Lonchura striata: one gene and its partner. The protein of the gene in region 2 interacts with the protein of the main gene of each other region in a pairwise test. Links are inferred from orthologs where the notes say so. Each region holds a gene or a part of one and is shown on either strand. Other genes may lie near its edges.

Region 1 (9,775 bases), on a different chromosome or scaffold from region 2:
TAGCATGACTTTCAGTGTAAAATGCCTATCTTGGAACATGTTGCCCTTCAGGTGACAGGCACAGGGGCAGAAACTCAAGTCACCTCACAAAGCAATTGTTTCTTTTTCAAGACAAGAATCAGTAAAAGCTGAGGTAAAGACTACGGGGATGAAGGAGATCTTGTGGAGAAGTTCACAGCACTTTATGGTCCCATGCATGTCCTGGCTACTCTCGGGCACCACCATGGAAGCATGTCACAAAATGTGGCAAAAATTCTATAATCACTCGCCCAGCAGGCCAGAGCAAGGCCCAAGATGTCCAACTAGCAGCTCCTCCTTGGCAGGAGGGTGCAGGAGCTGCTGCCTGTTCCTGGAGACCCACCACGGAAGAGGCAAAGGAAGCAGTGCTGCCCCACTCAGTCTCTTAAAAGGTCTCTGTCCAAGGAATGGAGTCCCTCTCCCTTTCTAATGATTTGTAGCTTGGGTTCTTTTTCCCCAGTTACACAAAAACAGCACTTTCATATTTTAGTATTCTCGATACTCCTCTGTACAGTCCTCAGCACTAGGACCAGGATATCCTAGCATGAAGAAAAAAACATGAAACTCACTGCAAGCAAAAGATGAATTTTATTCATTCTTTGATACATTACAGATATCTCTTATCCACTTACATTTCCTTATACCACTATAAGGGATTATCACTCCATCACTGAAAGCTGTCAAGTTAATGTAAAATTCAAAGGGGACAAAGTGCTAACTAAAAGACAGAAAGGATAATTAAGAGCCTTAAAGTGCCACGTCTAGGAGTTAATGCCTGCAGTACAGACAAAGGGCTGATATGGGCAATAGAAACATCTCTGGCTATATGATGTTGAGAACCTCTTTCAACTTTTTGGTATAAATTGCACTGTGAAAGCAGCAGACTAGATATTAACGTAGAGGGGAATTCACAAGATCTGGGCCTAGACATCCACGAAGCTCCCTGCAACTTTCTCCATTACAGAGCTGCCCTTTTCCCATGGCGCCACTGCCTTTCTTGAGTGGAGAAACCAGAAATTATTTGAAGTACTTTCCTTCTTTCAGTGTGCACTTTTTAAGCATTACCCAGGCAATGAATACAGTTACAAAGACTGTCACCACTAAAGGAGGCAAAACAGAGACGTTATCACCATTGAGTCACAGCGACTACACCAGTGGAGCCTTTACTTGCACTCCGTATGAAACAAGGCAATATAAAATAACCTTTATTTCCTATAATTTCGCACTCACAAGCAGCTCGGAGAAGGAACACGCTTGTGTGCAGGGACAGGGTGCCGTGAATCCTGTCCCGCTCAGCGGGGACAAGTGCCTGTGGACACACAGACACAGACACACACACACACACACGCACACACGCACACACGCGCACACACACACACACACACACACACACACACACACACACACGCACACACGCACACACGCACACACGTGGCACGGAGGCACCGGCGCGCCCCGCGGAGCCGCTGCCCGGGCGCGGTGCGCCCCGCTGCAGCGGCCCCACGGTGCCGCCAAGGCTGTTTAATTTTTCTCCGCACTTTTGTCCTTCTCCGTCCGGAGCGCCGCCGGGTCCCAAAAAAAGCCCGTTTCCTCTCCCAAAAAGCTGTGTGCTCCAGGTGAGGCTCGAACTCACAACCTCGGCATTGCTCGGCTTTGTACTGCTGTATAAGTACCGCGCGCTAACCGATTGCGCCACTGGAGCCCTGACACCAACTCGTCCCGAACGCTTTATCAAGGGCTCCCCGGCCCGGCGGGGGAAGGGCGGCGGACTCCCGCCCGCACCGGGCGCTGAGCGGCGGCCCGAAGCCGCCCCGGCTCCGTGCCCGGGCCGCGCCACCCCGTTAGCGGCGCGGGCAAGGCACGACGGAGCTGGCGGACGCCGCAGTGCTCGGGAAAGGCGGCGCCCGCGAGCCAGGGAGAGACGAGCGGCGGCGGGGCCCGGACAAAGCCCGAGCGGCCCGGCCGCCCCGCGGGGTGGGCGGGCCGGAGGCCGCGGGTGCGGCAGAGCCCGGCCCTCCGCCGCCGGGCGGGGCGGGGCGGGGCGGGGCGCCCTGCGGACCGCGGCTGGAGCGCCGCTCGCCGCTCCGTTCGCCGGGGACGAGACGGGCGGAGCTCGGCCCCGGGGCGTGCGGCCCCCGCCTGCCGACGGCCTCGGTAAAGGCTTGGGCCGCTGGGGCTGCCTTCCAGCCCCGCGCTCAGCGGCAGCCGTGGGGTGACGGTGCTCCCTCGGGCATGCTCAGGACCAGGCCGCAGGGAGGAGTAAGCGGTGACTGGCCGGGAATTAATGTTGGTGTCTCCAGCATCGCCGCTGTGTGCGACGCGAGGGGTGCCCAGCACTCTCAAAACAAGTGTTTGTTCAACGCTGTGCGAGCATGGTTAAAGTGTATCTCCAACATGGATTTATCTCTCCTACCTTATGTGGCAAAAAAGATGGTAAACATAACCGGCAGCAGCAGATAATTAAACCCAAGTGTGACTCCACTTCCTCTCTTCCCCCATGATCCCCGTGGTAAATGAGAAGCATCTCCTCTCCATTCAGAGTGTCAGCTCACTTGCCAAGGAACTTTTTCTTCTGATTATATTATTACTGTGGACATTACCTAAAATATATTTCCATTATATGCACCACTGACAGGTGAAGCAGCATGCAACTGCTGTGTGTAATCCTTGATTAAGGTGTCTGGCTTGGCAAGGAGAACTGGCAGCTCATTTCTTGTGAGAAATTTTCCATCATATAGGTGTACCTATGGCATACCAGAAAACAGCAGCAGCCTTCATTACCCTTTACATCATTATGGTAACAAAATAGTCTATACAGCACAAAGATAGCTGTGGGGAGATAAAAAGGTAGTATCAAGAATGTAGATTAAAAAGTATATAGCCCAGTGTCAGTATTTGATTTGTATTCTTTTGTTAACATATTTTTCTTGCTGGATACAAGCTTGTAAATTTAAGTCTCTAATGGGTTTGGTGACTGAGGAAGGTAGAAAAATAGTGTTGTCCAAAATGCAACTTTTTCCAGTAACTCTTTTTTCCTGTACCCTCAATGCAATAAATGAATTATTTTCATGTAACAGTTCTGTGCTTCAGTACTCTTGCACTCCTTTGGCAGCAAAAGGTTACACGTCGAGTCCTTGCCTTTGCATAAAAGGAAAGATCAGGGCCAAAAGGAAGAAACCCCAGGTGCTGGAACAGACTCTGATGGATGTGAAGAGCCATCATGAAGCAGACTAGCAAGAAAAATCCAGGCCCCAGTTAGTTCCTGAGGTGTATGAGATGCACTTACTCGGATGTTGCAGAGACCCGAGTAAGTGCATCACTGGTTCTTATCTTTGCCTCTCCAGTACTCTTCTCAGAAACAGTTTCATAACCTTTCATACCATGCATTTATCTGCATTCCTTAGCTCCACTATTATATGCATGAAGTAGCAATTAACTTCATTTTTCAGAACCTACTGATTTTCGGAAGGTTACAGAAAATGCTACCCTGTGATAATAGCCTCAGTCCTATATTAATGGTGAATTTTGTAAGTGGACTTTGTTTCCTTCCTGAGTAGGTTTAACTGTCAGGTTTTCATACCTCATACCAGCCACAAAATGGATTTATGAGCCTGCAACTGAGAAACTTTCTCTGCAGGTAATAGTACCTTGTATTCTGCCTGGTGGGAAAAAGTGGAGATGAGGGATTAGAACAGTGGTTGTGGACAAGAGCCCTGCAGTTAAGACTGGTACTTTAACACTGTGATGAACAAAGATTGGCTCAATCAGTTCCAGGATCTGTGTTTTTTCCTACTGTGACTCTGTAGAGTCTCTTGGCTTTCCTGCCCAACAAATGGAGTCCTGCTCTGCAATACAAGTTGCTAATGATGAGGGAGAGCTTTACAAAACTATGATCATTAACTAGTGTCTGCACTTCTCCAGTCCTGCCAATCTAGGTTATAAGCCTCTAAGTGAAAGTGCATTTCCAATAGAAGCTCTCTTTCCTTCATAGCTAAGAGCAGAACTGCCAGCAGCCTACAGAACAAAAAGTACCAAAATGTACCTGTCTGTAAGTTCAAAACCAGGCCCTATGTGTTTGCTGTTGAGGTGGTGTCTCACCAACAGAAGCCATTCTGTTGGTAGAAATTTCATGTGTTAAATAAGTGATGTGGCAGTGGTGTTTTGTAATTGAATGAAATAAGAACAACTTTGAGCTTATTTCAGAGGAAATTACAGCTAGTCCCATTGTGATTGTATTAATACAGTGGAACTGTAATCCACATGTGGATCTTTTTATCCAAAAATGAATGGATTTTTTTCCTGTTTTATAAATTACACAGTGAGTTTTAACTAAAGTGCAAAGAAGTGATAGAGACAAAGGTAAAATAGAGTCACTCTTACAAATATTTGATAAAAGCAAAGTATTAGTTCAAAGTCACACTCTGTTGCTTTCTTCTGGTGGAAAATTACAACAGGATGAGTTTAAAAACTCTTAATTTTGTACTGCTCATCGTGCTGAATTTTCAGGCCTGTAGCTGCACTGCTCATATGTGCAAGCCAGGGAGAATGTACTACTCACTTTTAACCAGATAATTTAATCACCTTATACCCATACACATTCACCCACTAAGCACAGCGTAGATAAAAGTAGAAGACTGAGATACATCAAGAGCAAAGTGCTAAGATATTGTAATGTCTTGGGATTTTTTTGTTTGCCCACTCATTTCATGTGTTTGGAGACTGTTTATTGATTTATTTGTTTTTAAAAATTGGAGGTGACAGGGAACAGAGTGAGCAGTCCTAGAGCAACTGTGTAGATCTTGAAGAGCAACTTGTGAGGGAATAAAGACTAATGAAGATCTGGAATGTCTGGTTCTTCTCAGTTACTTATTTGCCTGACAAGTTGATGGCAGTATGCTGTACTTTCCCAAAGGGCACCACAGAATCAGGGTCAGCTCTCCACAAGCCCTGCTATAACATTGGCAGAGCAGATCAAATTAAGATGAGCATTTAGGGACAGCTACTCTTGGTCTTACAAATGCAGGAGACATCTGTATTTTGGCTACTTGGCAAAAGAAGATCCCAGTATTTTCAAACAAATACATATACCACAAACATTCAGCCTTAGAATGTTGAAGGGAGGTTTTGGTATCAGACTTGAAAGGAGTGAATGCCCCAGCCTCACCCATTTTTTCTGACTTCTTTTCTGACTGGCCGTTTTTGTAGAGGTAATGTTCACACTCCAGTAGATGCAGTAAAGAGAATTAAGAAACTTAGTCTCAAAAAAAAAAAAAAAAAAAAATTATATTTTTAAAATACTAGTCAATTATTAGCCAAACTGCTGGAGGATTAGTGCTCCCTATGAAGTAACCTTTGACTGATGAACCTGTCCCTTTTGACACTGAAGCCACCTCTCCTACCAGCCAATCCTCTGAACACTGGGGTTGGAATCACAGGCAGTCTGCTCAAAAAAAAAGCACTCTTCAAATTCTGATATCTTGGGCAAAATTTCAGAGGTGGTGGACCATGGAGCTTCTTGTGAATGTAAGAAAATGGATAGAAGAAAACAAAACTGCCTTTTTGCCACCTGTTTGCAATAAGCTTATGTAAGTAAATGAAGATTTTTTTTTTACCAAGTTATTATATATACAAATATTTCTAGCTATAAGAGGAAGCTGCAAAAATGCATACATTGTAAAGATTAATAAGGAACCATAGTTCATCTCCAGCTGCAGACAGTGCTGTTCCAAAGAAAGCAAGTGAAATCTGACAATAATCTGAGTGCAATAACACAGCAGAATCTGCAAAGATCAACTTGAATACAAGATACTTGTCTCAACTCAAAGTCACTTGTAGGCACGGAGACTGAGTTAAGAGAATTTGTGTCAGGCTCTGTGAAAACAAACTCCTAGTAATCCGAGGAGATGGCATCACATGCAAAACCAAATTACAACCTGAATTAGCTAAAGCTGCTGAGAACCATTCCAACATCACAGAGGAGCCAAAGCTGCAGGAGCAAACAAATTCAGAAGGGTATATCACTGAAAAACAAGGAAAAAGGAAGGGCAGCAGTACCAGAGGATCAGATTTCCAGAGCATTTCCAGATCTGTTAGGGGAGGAGAGTAGAGAGCCTGAAGGCTCCATTTACAGTATTCTGAATGAGAAAACCAGTATAAGGAATAAAAGTGTGGGCATTGTGCAGTTGTATGTATACCTTGCACATGCTCTGTGTCAAAGCTTGTGAACAAATTCCAACGTGTCAGAATATTAACAAGGATTTCTTTGTCAGTGAAGCTGAGGAGAAAATATTTTGTCTAAAACTGTATGCAGAAAGCTTTCATTAGAAAGTATTCTGTCTAAAGAGTGACATAGACCCAGGTTTTATAAAGAAATGAAAAATCATTTTCTTGACTTTAATTTAAAAAAATACTATCTTTACAATTTTAGTCATTAAAAAAGATCAAAAAATATGCTTCTTGCCCTTCCCTTAAGTGCTATCCCTAATGAAAAGCTGAATGGGCAGTAATGTATCAGTGATATTAATTTACATTCACAGGGGCAAAGCTTAATTTTCAAAGCAATGGTTACAAGACAAATAAAAAGCAAAAAATACATCCTTACTGCCATGTCTGTGTTGAAACTACAGCTGTGTGTAGGACTGAAAAATTCTGAAATTTGAATCACTACAAGTGTTCCCATTTCTTTAATTTTCAAAATGGATTTAGGAAGCATTTTATGAAGCATATTCATTTCTGAAGCTTACCAATGATAACAGGAAAATTTTAGTATTTTATATATATGATGTGGAGTTGTGTTATTATATTCCCTATCAGTATGATGAATCTTCTTTGTGTTTACTGCACTGTTCTGTACTGCTTACTAGTAGTTCTTTGTAAACCTTGAGTAAATCTGGAATGTGGCATCTATCGCAGACCTTTGCCCATAAGCATTTTAAGAAGTTACAATAAAATGAGAAACATTTTTCATTATAAAAATTGCATAGTTTAAAACAAAATCTATTTTTCCAACATGGTTTTAGCTTATGTAGGAGAGTAAAACCATCTACTGCATGGATTCTGAGTCTACCACCACCTGCACCTGGTGCTATCTAAATGCTTTCAGGGTTTTCCAAAAGGTTTTAGGTGATTTTTCAAGAAGCAACTAATAGATTTTCAACATTTTTTCAAAGGCTTGATCCTATATGTGCTGAGATGTATCATGCACTCTTCTTACTGTGTCCTACTGCCTCATTGGAAGGCAACCACTTTGAAATTTAGTTACTTACTTTGGTTCAAGGGAGACTTAACAGTTGAAACTTGGTCTCACAGCAGAACAGTAGGGCTTTTGGTATCTAAAGTTATTACAGCTTTCAGGCTTTTATGACATTGTGTTCCCTATATTTGAGAGGATCACAATTTCTAAATACCTATTTGGGATTTCAACACAAAACCTCAATTCCTAAATTACTGCCTATTCAGAGTTTTACCAGAGTCAAGAAAACTATACATCTAATTAAATTTCAGCTCTGACATTATATTTTAATGAAACTATCTTGTAAGTTTAAATGCTTTTTAACCTCAACAATGAGTAATTAACACAAAATCAAACTCCTTGACACAGCTGATTTTTACAGGTACTTCTAAAGCTCTTCTTCTGAGTTCAAAATATGATGCTTACCAAAAGGACTATTAAGTGTGGTCATGGACCCACTGATTCTTTGTAGTCTTATAATGTATTTGAAGGGTTACCTGCTGGTATCATTTTCTTTATGAGGATGAGAAGAGAAATGTAAGATTATGGAAAACTTAATAGTCCATTTATTAGGTTCTCATTCTAACAATAGTAGAGTCAAGGAATTTTCTCATCCATGAAACCTTTACAGTACTCTTAACTGCATTTTGGCAGTCTTAACTGAAATTTTTCTTTGCTATGATATTTCATAACAATAAATAATTGTTAAATAGAACAATATTTAAAGCAATTATATTAACCAGACAACTTTATTTAGCAAGGTGGACAAACTTACCTATTGAAGTTCCTGGTCATATTTCATAGCTGGATTTTTTTGATGGTGTCAGTATACATTTGTTAATGATTGAATGATTAACCTATAGCCTGTTTATTATATAAAGTCCAGGTAAATCTGTGGGGTAAATAAACATAGATTTGCCAAATTAGGAAGTCAAGCAGTAATTGCTTTATAGCAGTATTTTCACTTTTACTTAGTGAACTAATAACAAAACTAATAACAAATAACAAATAACAAATAACAAATAACAAATAACTAATAACAAAACTGTCTATTAAGAAAAACCTAACCCATTTTAACAGTAGATTACAAGGTATTCACAGATTGCCTTTCTCTTATTCTATTCTTCAGTGTTGATTTGCATTTATTTCATTAATTATTATCTGTATTGCTGCTGTTTGTGTCATCCTGCCCTTCTTTAGTAGAAGTGTTCATTAATGCAGAAGCATTACAGTGTGCTGTTGAAAATTAATATTAAATCGGCATGGTACAAACAATTAGGATTTCAGTTCCTTATTTTATGGTACAGATATGAAGCCCAGTGATATAAAATATACAGCTTCCTATGCAGAGAGCAGTCATTCTAATTCTTTAGTTTTACTTGACCAACTAATTTGTCACTGTTACTTGTTATGTCTGCATTACTAGACCTCACTGTGTTGGTTATTATCATTTAAATACTCTTTACAGAAAAAGTGATAACGGTAGCAGACTGAATATGTATGTGCCACCACTCAAACCAGCCTCTCTCAATTAAGGCTTACAAGGTGATGACACAGGGACAAGTTGCTGTTGTTCCCTGTGTTTCAGGGGATCATGGCCCTGCTGGTTCCATGTTACTGCCCAGAACCTCCTCATTGCAAAGCAGAGGTTAATACACCTCAGTTCACTTGGCAAACAGCAGGCAAACAAATTTTGATTCACAGCTAACAGGCCCTGATTTTGAGGGGTTTGTTTATCAAAGGAAAAACTACTACCTTACCTTTTTATTAGTGTGAGTGGACTGATAGGTAATTGGGGTGATAGCCATTCCTTGTGATAGCTGAGAGGAGTGCTCACTAGGGCTCTTAAGAGCGGCAGAGTTAAGAAATGGCCTGGAATCTTCTTTTCGGAAATAGCCACAACCAAAATGAAACCATTGTAATGTTATTCCAGCTTAGCAAAACCAGTATAAACAGAACAGAAATTAGCTGGCAATTCCTACCATCAGTATCGCTGGTAATTCCACCAATGTGGGGGGGAAAAGTATGTTTTTTACCTTTATTAACTTTTCAGAGTTTTACCTTTACATAATCAGCTCAGGTTGAAAAGCCTCTTTTCTAGTTCCTGTCTCTTAGGTAACATTTTTTATCTTTTCAAATCAAAGCTCTTTTCACAGCTGGCAGCTATTGTTGTCCTCTTTTCATAGCTGGAGGCATTGAAACACCAGGAGGAAGGTAGTTGGCCTCAGGTCACCCAACAGGACAGTGCCAGAGCAGAGAGATAAGTCCAAGGTCTATGAGTTCTTGTACTGGCTGTTGCTTTCCACTCAACATTATTGCATTGACTCACTGTACCAAAGGAATTTTAAAAAATAAATGAAATAAAGAACATCATGAATAGAAGTAACTTCAAAATGTCACTTTCTCTTCTAGGCATCGCTATCAATTAAATGTGATGTTTGTTGGAGGGCCAAATGAAAGGAAGGATTATCATATTGAAGAAGGAGAAGAGGTAACCTACAGGTTGTTTATATTACTCTGATTTAT
Region 2 (10,534 bases):
TGCGCGTTACTTTATCAGTTCTGCTTGCCGGGCTAAATTAAAATGATGGTGAAAATGCCGATCGCTCCAGCCACTGAGGGGACTGGTAGGGAAATGGTCCATTAAACCCAGATCAGGAGCTATTTATAGAACTGAGCGACTACTCGTTAATGTCGCCAGCGGCTACCAGTGAAATCTCTCACAGACACAGGGCTAAACATTTGCACCCTGATTCTTTTTCCGTTCAAACTTCCAGGTGACAAAACGCTTAATGAATGAACTTCGCCTCGACCAAGCAGGGAAAGAGGTTTAAATGCTCCTTTGCATCGAAAAGAGGTTAGTTTCTCCCACGACATATTTCCCATCCCCTCAAAAGAGACAGAGGGGGAAAAGAGAAAATAATTTCTATGCGTAAGGGGTATGGGCTAAACGGAATGATTCCCCCATCAGAATATAAAGATTTGACTGTTAGTCTCTGAAAGCGAAGGCGCTACTGAGATATCTAGAGAAGGAAGACAGCTTGTTATCTGCAAATGAATCTCTTGCTATAACGTTGCGATCCGATTGTGCATTTGTTTCCCTTCTGCATTTCATGTGCCTGAGCGCTGACTGGCTGCCAGCGCTATCTTACCAGAACAGCAAGCTGACGAATTGCTCTTTAATAAGGCTCTCGTTAATCTTTTTTTTTTTTTTCCCAGGAGATCCGTATTTTCTAGTCAGATAAGGCTGAAAAATCCCAGACAGTGAGAGGCGGCGAACCGGCCCCCCACCCCCCGGTTTTCCTCCGGCCTCTCCGGCGGGTCCTGAGCTTTCTTCGCCCGGAGCCCGTATGTGGCAGGAGGGGCAGCGGGGCCGCCGCCGTCCCTCCCCCGGCGGACAGAACCTCGGCCGCGGACGGCCCACGGGAGGGCACAGCGGCGGGGCCGGGGCCGCGGAGCCGCCCTGCGGCCGGCAGGGGGCGGCCGAGCCAGGGCCGGCGGGCGGCCGGGGCTGCCCCCGCTGGGGCGACCGCGTCGTCACGCGTGGGTGTGCGGGGTGTCGTACGGGGAGGCACGGCCGCACTTACCGCATATCTTCAGCCCGATCTTCCTGGTGCACCCGTGAGCCACGCCGCACCATGAGTCGTAAGCTGGAAGAGAGAGCAGAGTTGTTCCCCTGGGGCGGCGGGGCTGTCCGGCCGCCGCGCCCCACCCCGGTCCCCCGCACGGCTCCATAGCCGTGAGAAACGGCTGACACCGAGCCCGGCGGCGCTGGGCGCGGGGCAGCTGAGGCTCGAACGACAGCGAGGTGACATGCTGGCCTGCCCAGAGGAGAGGCGAAGGCACCCGGGACCCGACATCTCATCATTTACTGGCGGGGCTCCAGGGAAGCAGCAGCTTAAAATAAAGTGGCGTGAAATGGGGTCACAAAAGAGTTCAGGAATTAATTGGGTGAAAAATAGTATTTGACTAGATGATCGGACTCGCATCATTGAGCCTCGGACGGACTGACGGGGCACCCGACGGCCCTACTGGGACCGCACCCCCAGAGGGAACAGGCTGATTCCCAGCCCCTCGAGTCGTGGCTCGGACACGCCCCGGTCGGCCCCAGCTGAGCCCACGGGAAGCGGGGAACGAAGCCCAGGACCGAGGTGGAGGGTGCGCCAGCCGCGGCCACAGGCACTACCGAGCCTCTCCCGTTCGTCGCTCACGGCACGGGGCAGCCGCAAGTCCAGTAGCGACGGACCCAGAGGGCGAGCGGGGGCCGGGGGTGGCTGACGTGGCGTGGGGGGAGAAGGTTTCAGACGGCTCACCCAAGCACGGAGGCAGCGGCCTGACTCTCGGGGAGGGGGAAGAGCCAAGGCGCTCCCGACCGCGCGGAGGGACCCTCTCGGCAGGGGCGCTGCCCGCGCCCGGGGGTGGGGAGCCCGTGTGGGCAGGGCAGGATGCTGCTGCCAGCGGTTATCTTTGTTTTAGCTGTGTTGCCAATTAATTCGATTTCTCTGTGTGACACCTCAGTCGAAGGCAGCAGTGCCTGCCACGCGCGCCTGAAACAAGACCCAGTTCTGCCGTTCGCCCCCTTTCCCGTTTTTTCCAGTTTCAGAATAATGACAATAATGACTCCGATGCTCCGTGTCTCGGACTGCTTTCAGGGTAAAAGCTATTACCTGCTCTGCTGTCCCTGACAACCTATCATTTCTTAGTGTTGGCCCGCTCTTTGTCTCTGATGCTTCATAACATCGAGCCTCTTATTGTTCGGGTTTTAATTTTTTTTTCCTGTAGGCAATGGTCTGAACTGCCTGGCAGGGCTTATAAACTGATTCTCTATCCACCTGCAGCAGCCTCTGCTTCCCACTCACACCTCAATAACTCAAGGCGAATTCAGAGCAATTAGGAATATAACGCTTTGAAAAGCTGCAATTAGCATCCAAATTTCGCTTGATTACAGGCTTCAGCGTAGGCTGAAAAGAAGCTGCAGCATTAGCATTTATAAAATGTAGCTGGGAGACACCTGCTTTAATACCCTGGTGTAACTTCGCCCTTTAACTGATTTGTTTTCTCCTCACCCCTTCCAACATCCCGATTTTGTTGTTCATCTGGGAGGTCAGTTTATTGCCTGTATCTCTCAAACGTGTTTGTAAGATAAAGACAACGTTGGCCAGTAAGGTGGGCTTTTCCTCACAGCGTTTTACTCGCCACGGACCGACCTCTCCTGTTCCCAATAGGAAGATGGTTTCTTTGTGTAGAGCACTTTCCGCACCTTGCTTAATGGCGCGGAACAAGGCTTCATAGATGTATCATTTCGTTTCGAAACTGGTCTTTCTGAGCCTAAATGGAGAAAGCCTCCAAAACACTTAAAACGAGGAAAATAGCAAAACCTACTTGTAGGTCGCAGATTAGGTGGGGTGGGGTCCGGAGCATCGTTGGAGGACGAGGGAGCAGAGGAAGCCATCCCTTCAGAAAAGCCCCGGTCCTCGGAGCTCGTATTTCCTCGATATTCCTCTGAGGGGTGGGCAGCAAGGAATTTGCTGGAAGGAAGAACAGGCGGGTTTAGTAGTCTAGTCTCCTGGAGCACCGCACCAGAGTCCCGTCTAGACGTCAGCGGGCGGCAGCCGCGCAGGTCCCGAGGCGGCGGCAGGACCGGCCGAACCGGGAAAATGCCTCGACAGACTGAAGAGCAAAATCTTCCCTTCCCTAGATTCCAGGGCGCTACCCCCCGCGCCTGAATGACGGATTTAGCAGAGCATGAAGCCTATAGCAATTATATCGGTGGCCACTGAGCAGGGCAGTTATACGGCTCGCATCAAATGGAGACCAACGTGCAAAGCGGACTTCGAAATCACCAGCCCAAACGACCTACAATCCCAAACACAGCCCGCTTCTGGGCTTTACCAAACACACGTCAGGCTGAGCATTCAGGAAAGACTGACAGACAAAACCCCGCCACAACAAAGGTGCGTTTTGCCCAGGTCCAATGACAGGCGCCACATACATGTGAATTTACACACACATGTTTCAGCAAACCGGGGCCACTCTGTGCTCCAGCACTAACCAGCGATCTCCCGTGCCCGTGCTCGCTTTTGCGGCGCAAATGGCAGGAGAGGCATGTCTGTCTGGGGAAGGGAAGGAGTAGGAGCAGCCCTCTCTCCTCGCCAGATGTTCAGCTCTTTCCTGGCGGACACGGCGTTCCGATAACCAATACAGGGTCGCTGATCGAGAATTGCCGGGTCACTGCCCAGCTCGTCTCTTTGTCCCCACGTCTACCTGCGATTTATTTTCTTCTCCTTGTAAAGAAAATGAAGGTCGCGGTAACGAAAGAACGCTTTCTTTGTTAGCGGCTTTTTTCAAATCGGTAGCTACCGATTCATTTCCACTGCTGGGTGGATTTACACCCGCGTGTAAACGCAACGGATCAATGATTTCAATGGAGAACAGGTAGGTAAATTTTTTAAGACGAGAAAGAAAACAGCCATAAGCAGAAGATATTTTCTAGACAATGCCTAGAAGTGAAGTAACAGGTTAACACTATGTCTAGGGCGGTATCAAAAAAACCCGTTATTCCTCTATTCATACGACAGCGACCAAAACCGATTTGTGGGAGAAAAAATGCTCCAGAGGTTCCCAAAGGCTTGAAAAAACCCCAGGATGCTGTTTAGAGGACACTTACCGAGGAGGCGAGCGCACACTCTTATTGCCGTAGTCCAGGTTGGCAGGACGACTCTAGCCTGGGAGCGACCCGCCGCTTATAAACTCTGCCAGAAACGACGTCGGAATATCAATCGCGCCGCGGAATTTAATGCGAGATGACCTTTTTTCCCAGAAGTGCTCGGATTTGCTTTTTTAAAAGCGTGAATCGCCAGTTGATCTGCTTCGACGCAGGCATGAGTCACAGGACTGCCGCCACCGCCTCCACTCCGCACGGGGGCTGGGGACCGCTGGGGCGGCCGGCTGGGGCGGGGAAGGGCGGCCCACCGGCCCCGGCTGCTGTCGCTGGTCTGCTTCGCCCCGGGGCGGCGGGGCTGACTCCCGCGGCGGGTGGGGCTGTCCAGCCGCGGCAGGGGCGGCACCCCAGGCAGGCGGTTCTGCCGTGCGAGCCCCTCGTCGAGCACCTCGTGCGGATGGATCCAGAGGTTTCCCCTAGACAGCACCGGCTTGACCCGAGGTCGCCAGCTGTGCTAATAGGCACCGTACACATCGGCGCACCGGTGAGGCGACGCGGCCGAACTCCCGTCCCGGCCTTTCCCTGAGCATGGTGCGAGACTCGAATGAGCCGGGCGGGGTTCGTGTGAATTGTAGCTTAGCAACACCCCCTGTCCCCCGCTCCGCCGTGCTGAGGGTCTGATGTGACCCGCTGGCTCAGTCCGTGGTTCCCGCGGCTCGCCCCGCTCCTCCCCGCCAGAGGGTGGCAGAGGCACGGGTACCGCTGAAGGGGAACACCTGGATGCCTGTGACTTACCCTTAGATTACGATTTTATACCAGACATCCCTTTGCTAAAACCAGAAACATTAAGATAACGAGCTTTTCATACCCCTGACAACCCCATGTCTGCGTTACTCTATCCCACACCCTGAATATGCTTAGCCAACATTTTATGGTTGTGACCACGGTGCTGTATTTCAGCATGTCACGGTAGCTATGCAGATGCCTAAATCAAACCCTTCTCAAAAAGATGCCACATAAGGGGCTGGGAGGAATCCGCAATAAGAAGAGAGGAGGGGAAACAGTCTGATGGAGCCAGAGAATTTCATCTTATGCAGTAGATGCTAGGCAGTGCAATGAGCATCAGGGCTGTGTCCTTTCTGAAGGACTCGAGGCAAAAGCAAAAACTTACAAGCCCGTTTGGTAAAGGAAACCATCCGACAGACAGTATTAAGTAGCCAAGACAACTGCTTTGTCAAGCACACTTGCTCTCTAGGAACTGGACATATAACAAAAACACCGACAGCACAAAGGCCAGTTTTTAAACATAGCTTTACAGATATTAATGGCCCTAGCTAACATGACCTTTTCTCGTATCTAGACTATCATTTTAAAGCTGGTTTCAACCAATTGAGCAAGACAATTGCTCAGTGCAGAGTGGAAGTAATAATAATATAACTGTAACTAATAGTCTTTATAATGTAAACAAACGTTCAAAGGAAGTAATGGCAGGACTGCAATACAAAAAGTCAACGAACGACCACACAAAGAACCCCTAAGCCATCAGTCACTTTGAGGCACGACCCGGCTGGGTGTATTCCCGACACACAAATTTTTCCTTTCCTTCTGGCTTTCCAGAAGCGCGTGTGTCCGGAGTAAACAGACATGGTTTAACATAGATATTTACATCCTCGTAGAATCTGAGACCCGCACTTTCCAGCACCTCGAGGAGCCCGGCGCTCCCGGCTCTCCGCTCAGCACCTCGGACAGCGGCCGCTCCGGCCCGGCCGCGCAGCCCCGGCAGGGTGAGCGGCGCGCTCGGGGGCGCGGGCTGCAGCCTCGCACGGCCCGGGCGGTGTGCGGAGCGCTCGCTGCCTCCCGGCCGTGCAGGAGCACGCCGAGAGCGAGCCCCACGGGCCCGGCCCCGCTCCCCGCCTCTCGGCCCCTCTGGGTGGCGCTGCCTCTCAAGCCCAGACGCTCCGCAAAGCCCTGCGCAGACGCCCGGCCGCGGCTGCGGCTGCTCCGAGCCCGCGCTCACCACGGTCTATTCGTCCTGGCCCCGGCGGCGGCAAGGGAAAAGCAGCAAACCCTGGGGCTCCGCGCGTCCCTCCCTCGCTCATCTACAGCGTGGCTGTACAGCACGCCTGGAAACGCTTGCTAATTTTCATTTGCAACGGACCTGCTTGAAAAACCGACCTAAACCCGAACTACTCCAGCTCAGCGACTTCATTCAGAACTCGCCACAACCATTGAAATCTTTGAAACATCCTTGCCAGGTGTACACGCCCAGGCTCGGGCACTCAGAGATGTGCCGCTTTCACCGAGAGAGTTCAAAGTCTTCCCCTCCAGCTGTGCTCCTCCAGCAATCTGCTCTTTTCTCCTTGCACGTGACTGTCCCTTCCCTGAGTCTACTGCTCCAGTGCACTCTAGGCACAGGTTAGAGAGAATATCTTCGTAGCTGGGGATCCAGAAGACTTTGGCTTTGCTTTGAATCCAGATGTTTACTGATGATGTGAAACACGCAGAAAAAACCATTGATGCGTGGTATCAGCAAGACAGTAGGATGAAGATATGTAATTCCCTTAGCTGAAGCCTGTAAGCAGCACATCAACTAGAACTCACTTTAAATAGCCAGGCCTGGGGTATTTCTTGAATTCACCTCCATCCACAAACGGCACATGCTAAAATATGAATCCTGAATACCCTGAGTGTGCAAAGGAATGAACGTGATGCAATAAATATATTTAGCAACAAAGACTACTCAATAATTATATAGTTTTTATAGATGTGGACATATAAACAATGACTGTCAAGCAGGAAAAAAAACCCCACTATTTGTATTGCAACCTGTAGATTTGAATAGTCACTGTGTTTGGAGCTGCATACAATATTTTAAGAGAGATGAGCACCTCCTGCCTACACGGTAAGGAGGTCACAATATAGATAGATGACAATGGAGAGGCAAATAGAGAAAAATCCCAGTGCCCTAACGCTTCTTATTTCTTCATATTCTGAACTATAGTCATGTTATATATGCATTTATCTGCAGGCAGAAAACAAATTTGACTTCTGGTGATTATTATTATTATTGTGGGGGGTTCCCTCCATGAATTCTCTGTGTTGCCTTTTAATTGCCATTTTGTGTGGATTACGAATATTTTAGCAGGCTGGGATTAGGCAAATTCTTTCTTTGAAACTGTATACAACAGTAAGTACAGAGAACATCTGTGGTGTTTCTGGACCTGAGGGTTTGTATTTTTGTCTTTGCAGCCTGTGAGGTTTTCTTTTTCTTTTTAGTAATACAGCTATAATTTTTAATCCAGTACATTATTACAAATTATATTTATTGCATTCAGTATCTCTTTCTTTTCCTACAATTCCTGGTATACAAAAATGTCTACCTTACCTGTATCTTACATAAAATGGAATCATTTAAATAATAAATTTCATTAACTCTTGACATAGAAAAATTGGAAAATTGTTCAAAATTAAGTTTTTCAAAACTTTTGTGGCTATCATCTTTGGTACTTAAAAATACAGATAATAAATTCCTGTATATCTGTAATGAAAAAAAATGAACATGCCAAGAGAAAAAATAACAAATTAGTGCTCCGATTATTTGGATTACTTGGCCCTGTCCAGAAAATTCTACAAATGGAAATTTGGTGAAGACTGTGGATTTATACTCCTATGCTACAGATAACTTTTGCTGTTCTCTATAACTTGACAAAAACTAATAGAAGATGAATGATGTGTTTGCTTTGGGTTTATGAACAGTCAGTACTGATGTACCCAACTGGCCCATATTTAAGGATCATGTACATCACTCGAATTTCAAAGACAGCTCAATATGAACTGCCAGACAGAACATTCAGCACTGCTGTGATGAAGGGCATTTAGAAAAGTCTAATCTGAAGCACATTGTTTTACATACTTTGTGGCTTCTTGTTTCAGGATGTCCCCTTCCTGATCCATGCTGGCATGTCTTGTTGTCCATTTTGATCTGCTTCATCTGAAAAACATCCCAAAGAACAACCCACATCCTGAAACAATAGCAGTGGAAAATCCCAACTCCCAATACCCCCAAGCAAACATAGAAAGAAAGAGAGTTCCCTTACTTCCAAGCTGTAACAAAATAAAACCTTTTTTATCTAGATGGATCAAACAAATTACTTAAGTTAGGTAACTGTGATTGCAACTTGAAAGAGTAACACAAGTGATAGTACACCAGTAAGTGTACACTCTCTACCAGTTTTAGGAGGTTGCAATTTACCCTGTGTCTGAAAGGAAATTTATTTCCCACCTCCCCCAGTAACCCTGTAGAGCCCAAACAGCTAATGCCTGGATATTTTTCCCCTTATGATATTATAATTGATACATATCACTGAATTATATATTTTATCCCAGAGGAGGGCATTAGTTTACAATGAGAACATTCAGCAGTTTCAGGAATGCTGCTGCAGAAGATTGGAGAGTCAAACTGCACAATCTCAGAACAAATTTGGAGAGCTGGATTCTGGGATTTTTTAACACACGATTGTTTAAATTAAGCATATTTCACAAATAATCCTCAAGAAACAAAAAGCATGGGCTTTTCTGTTAGTTTAAAAAAAACACTTCTCAGTTAATAACTGAGTTTCAGGTATTGGCTTTGCAAGTCTCAAAAGTTTTTGGGATCATTAGAGTTGTGATTTTAGCTAGGATTTTTTGTTTTGGTTGGTTGTTTTGGGTTTTTGTTTCTTTTGGTTTTGGTTTTTGTTTATTTAGTTTTATTTTTTCCCCCTTTCCCCTCCTCTTTCCTCTGTGGTGGATAAGTCAGGTTTTGTCCTGGATAAGTCAGTTAGTTTGCCCTGGATAGCCATCAGTACTGGTGAAATAGCAGATTTCCCGCAGCACTGCATTTGAAACCCTTCCTTCCTCTGGTTTCTTTTTAGCTACAACATTACAGAAACAGAAATAAAAATAGTTTCCAAAATGGAAGGTTAAGTGCACCTGATTGAAATACAGAATTTAAACAAAGCACCAATACTTACATTTTTTAACACAGGGCAATCAAAGCACAGAAACACAAACAGAATGGTAGGAACAGCTACAAAGATGGATAACAGGCACACTGCACTCTGAAAAGTAGAGTGATATTTGCTTGTCTACCAAGACATGTTGGTCCACCAGAAAAAAACAGATGGACAGGTAAGAAAAAAAATCCTTTCTCTCTGTTAGACTGAGTAGTTAATCTTCCCTATTTCAAATGGATTTCACTAGCATTTTTACAACTAACAGATTCCTATTTGGAGGTAATAGAAATGTGCATGAACTTTAAGCAAAGCAATCATTAGTTACACGGGCTTCTCTATTCAGTACAAGTATGGAAGATTATGAAAATATTGAGGGGCATTTTTAAGGACAAAACCACTTCTCCCAGATTAAGAGATAGGTAATTCAAATTGGAGACATCTCCCAGACAGAAAAATCAGATTAGAGTTTTTACAGACACATATTCCAATCTATTTATGCAATAAAATCTTGTCTCCTTTGGCCTTTCAAAACTTCTGTGCAAGCACACACTTACCTAATGCTCTTGACTCCTGTTAATGGTATTCTGATAGTTGCACTTGAAGAATACAACCACAGGAAAAAACAGAGCTGCTGTCATCTGGAACAACATTAACTCAGCACTAGAACAAGAAACAGAACTTAGCCACGTTGAATGTTGTTGAGTAGCGATGGGATTAAATTATTTTAAGTTACAGAAGGTGAAAAAGAAGGCTTATTATTAAGAAGTAGTGTCTTTTTATAACTAGGATTGCTAAAGTGAGACTTCATTGGTCTCAAAGTAAAAACCTTTCACACTACTGGTGATCCATGAATAGCACACTGTGGTAGAACGTATCTATAAACAACATGAACAGAAAGAGAGATAATAATTGTTTAAATTCTTTCTCTCCAAGTTTCCCAGGCCTGAAGCCTGGGAGAATCCTTTGTTCTCTCTTTGGCTGAACTGAGAGCCTCCACAATGCTATCTTTAACAGTTTAGCCATAACAAAATTTTAAAAGCGAATACACAGGAGATAAAGTACAGCACTGCTCTGAGCAGTGAATCAAGTATAACTTCTCTCTTCGTAATCTTAAAGGATACTTAATATTTGCTAGGGTTTAAAGGAACTGTCTGGGAAGGGATTCAGGAGAGTACAACGGGTCATGCTCTGGTTTCCAACCGCTCTGTTCTCCCCAGGACAGGTAGCAAGGCTACTTGCATTCCTCTGCAGCTAGAGAGAGAGCACCAACGACAGAACACCAGCCTGGGACTAGTCGTGCCACACAGAAAACTTTACAAATGTTCCACTGGCTTCCTCCTTCAGAGAAAATTCTGTTACAGAGGCTTTAGGGATCTGAAGAACTGCAAGAATGAACAACACATTGCTTTTCTAGAATGTTA

What was found. The genes of interacting proteins can lie anywhere in the genome.
Region 1: the proteins of GAD1 (region 2) and HAAO interact in a two-hybrid assay, tested with the Homo sapiens proteins (4 studies listed by BioGRID and IntAct). The two-hybrid records come from large-scale screens. The link is inferred for Lonchura striata from reciprocal best matches to the Homo sapiens genes GAD1 and HAAO.

Annotation. Positions count from the first base shown.
Region 1 is NC_134605.1:14,236,179-14,245,953, reverse strand, and holds the start of HAAO (3-hydroxyanthranilate 3,4-dioxygenase), read left to right. Parts: upstream 1-5,402; 5' UTR 5,403-5,523; coding exon 5,524-5,603; intron 5,604-9,661; coding exon 9,662-9,740; intron 9,741-9,775. UniProt on the Homo sapiens protein: Catalyzes the oxidative ring opening of 3-hydroxyanthranilate to 2-amino-3-carboxymuconate semialdehyde, which spontaneously cyclizes to quinolinate.
Region 2 is NC_134610.1:20,102,088-20,112,621, reverse strand, and holds the start of GAD1 (glutamate decarboxylase 1), read right to left. Parts: upstream 4,423-10,534; 5' UTR 4,126-4,422; intron 2,987-4,125; 5' UTR 2,911-2,986; coding exon 2,841-2,910; intron 1,109-2,840; coding exon 1,046-1,108; intron 1-1,045.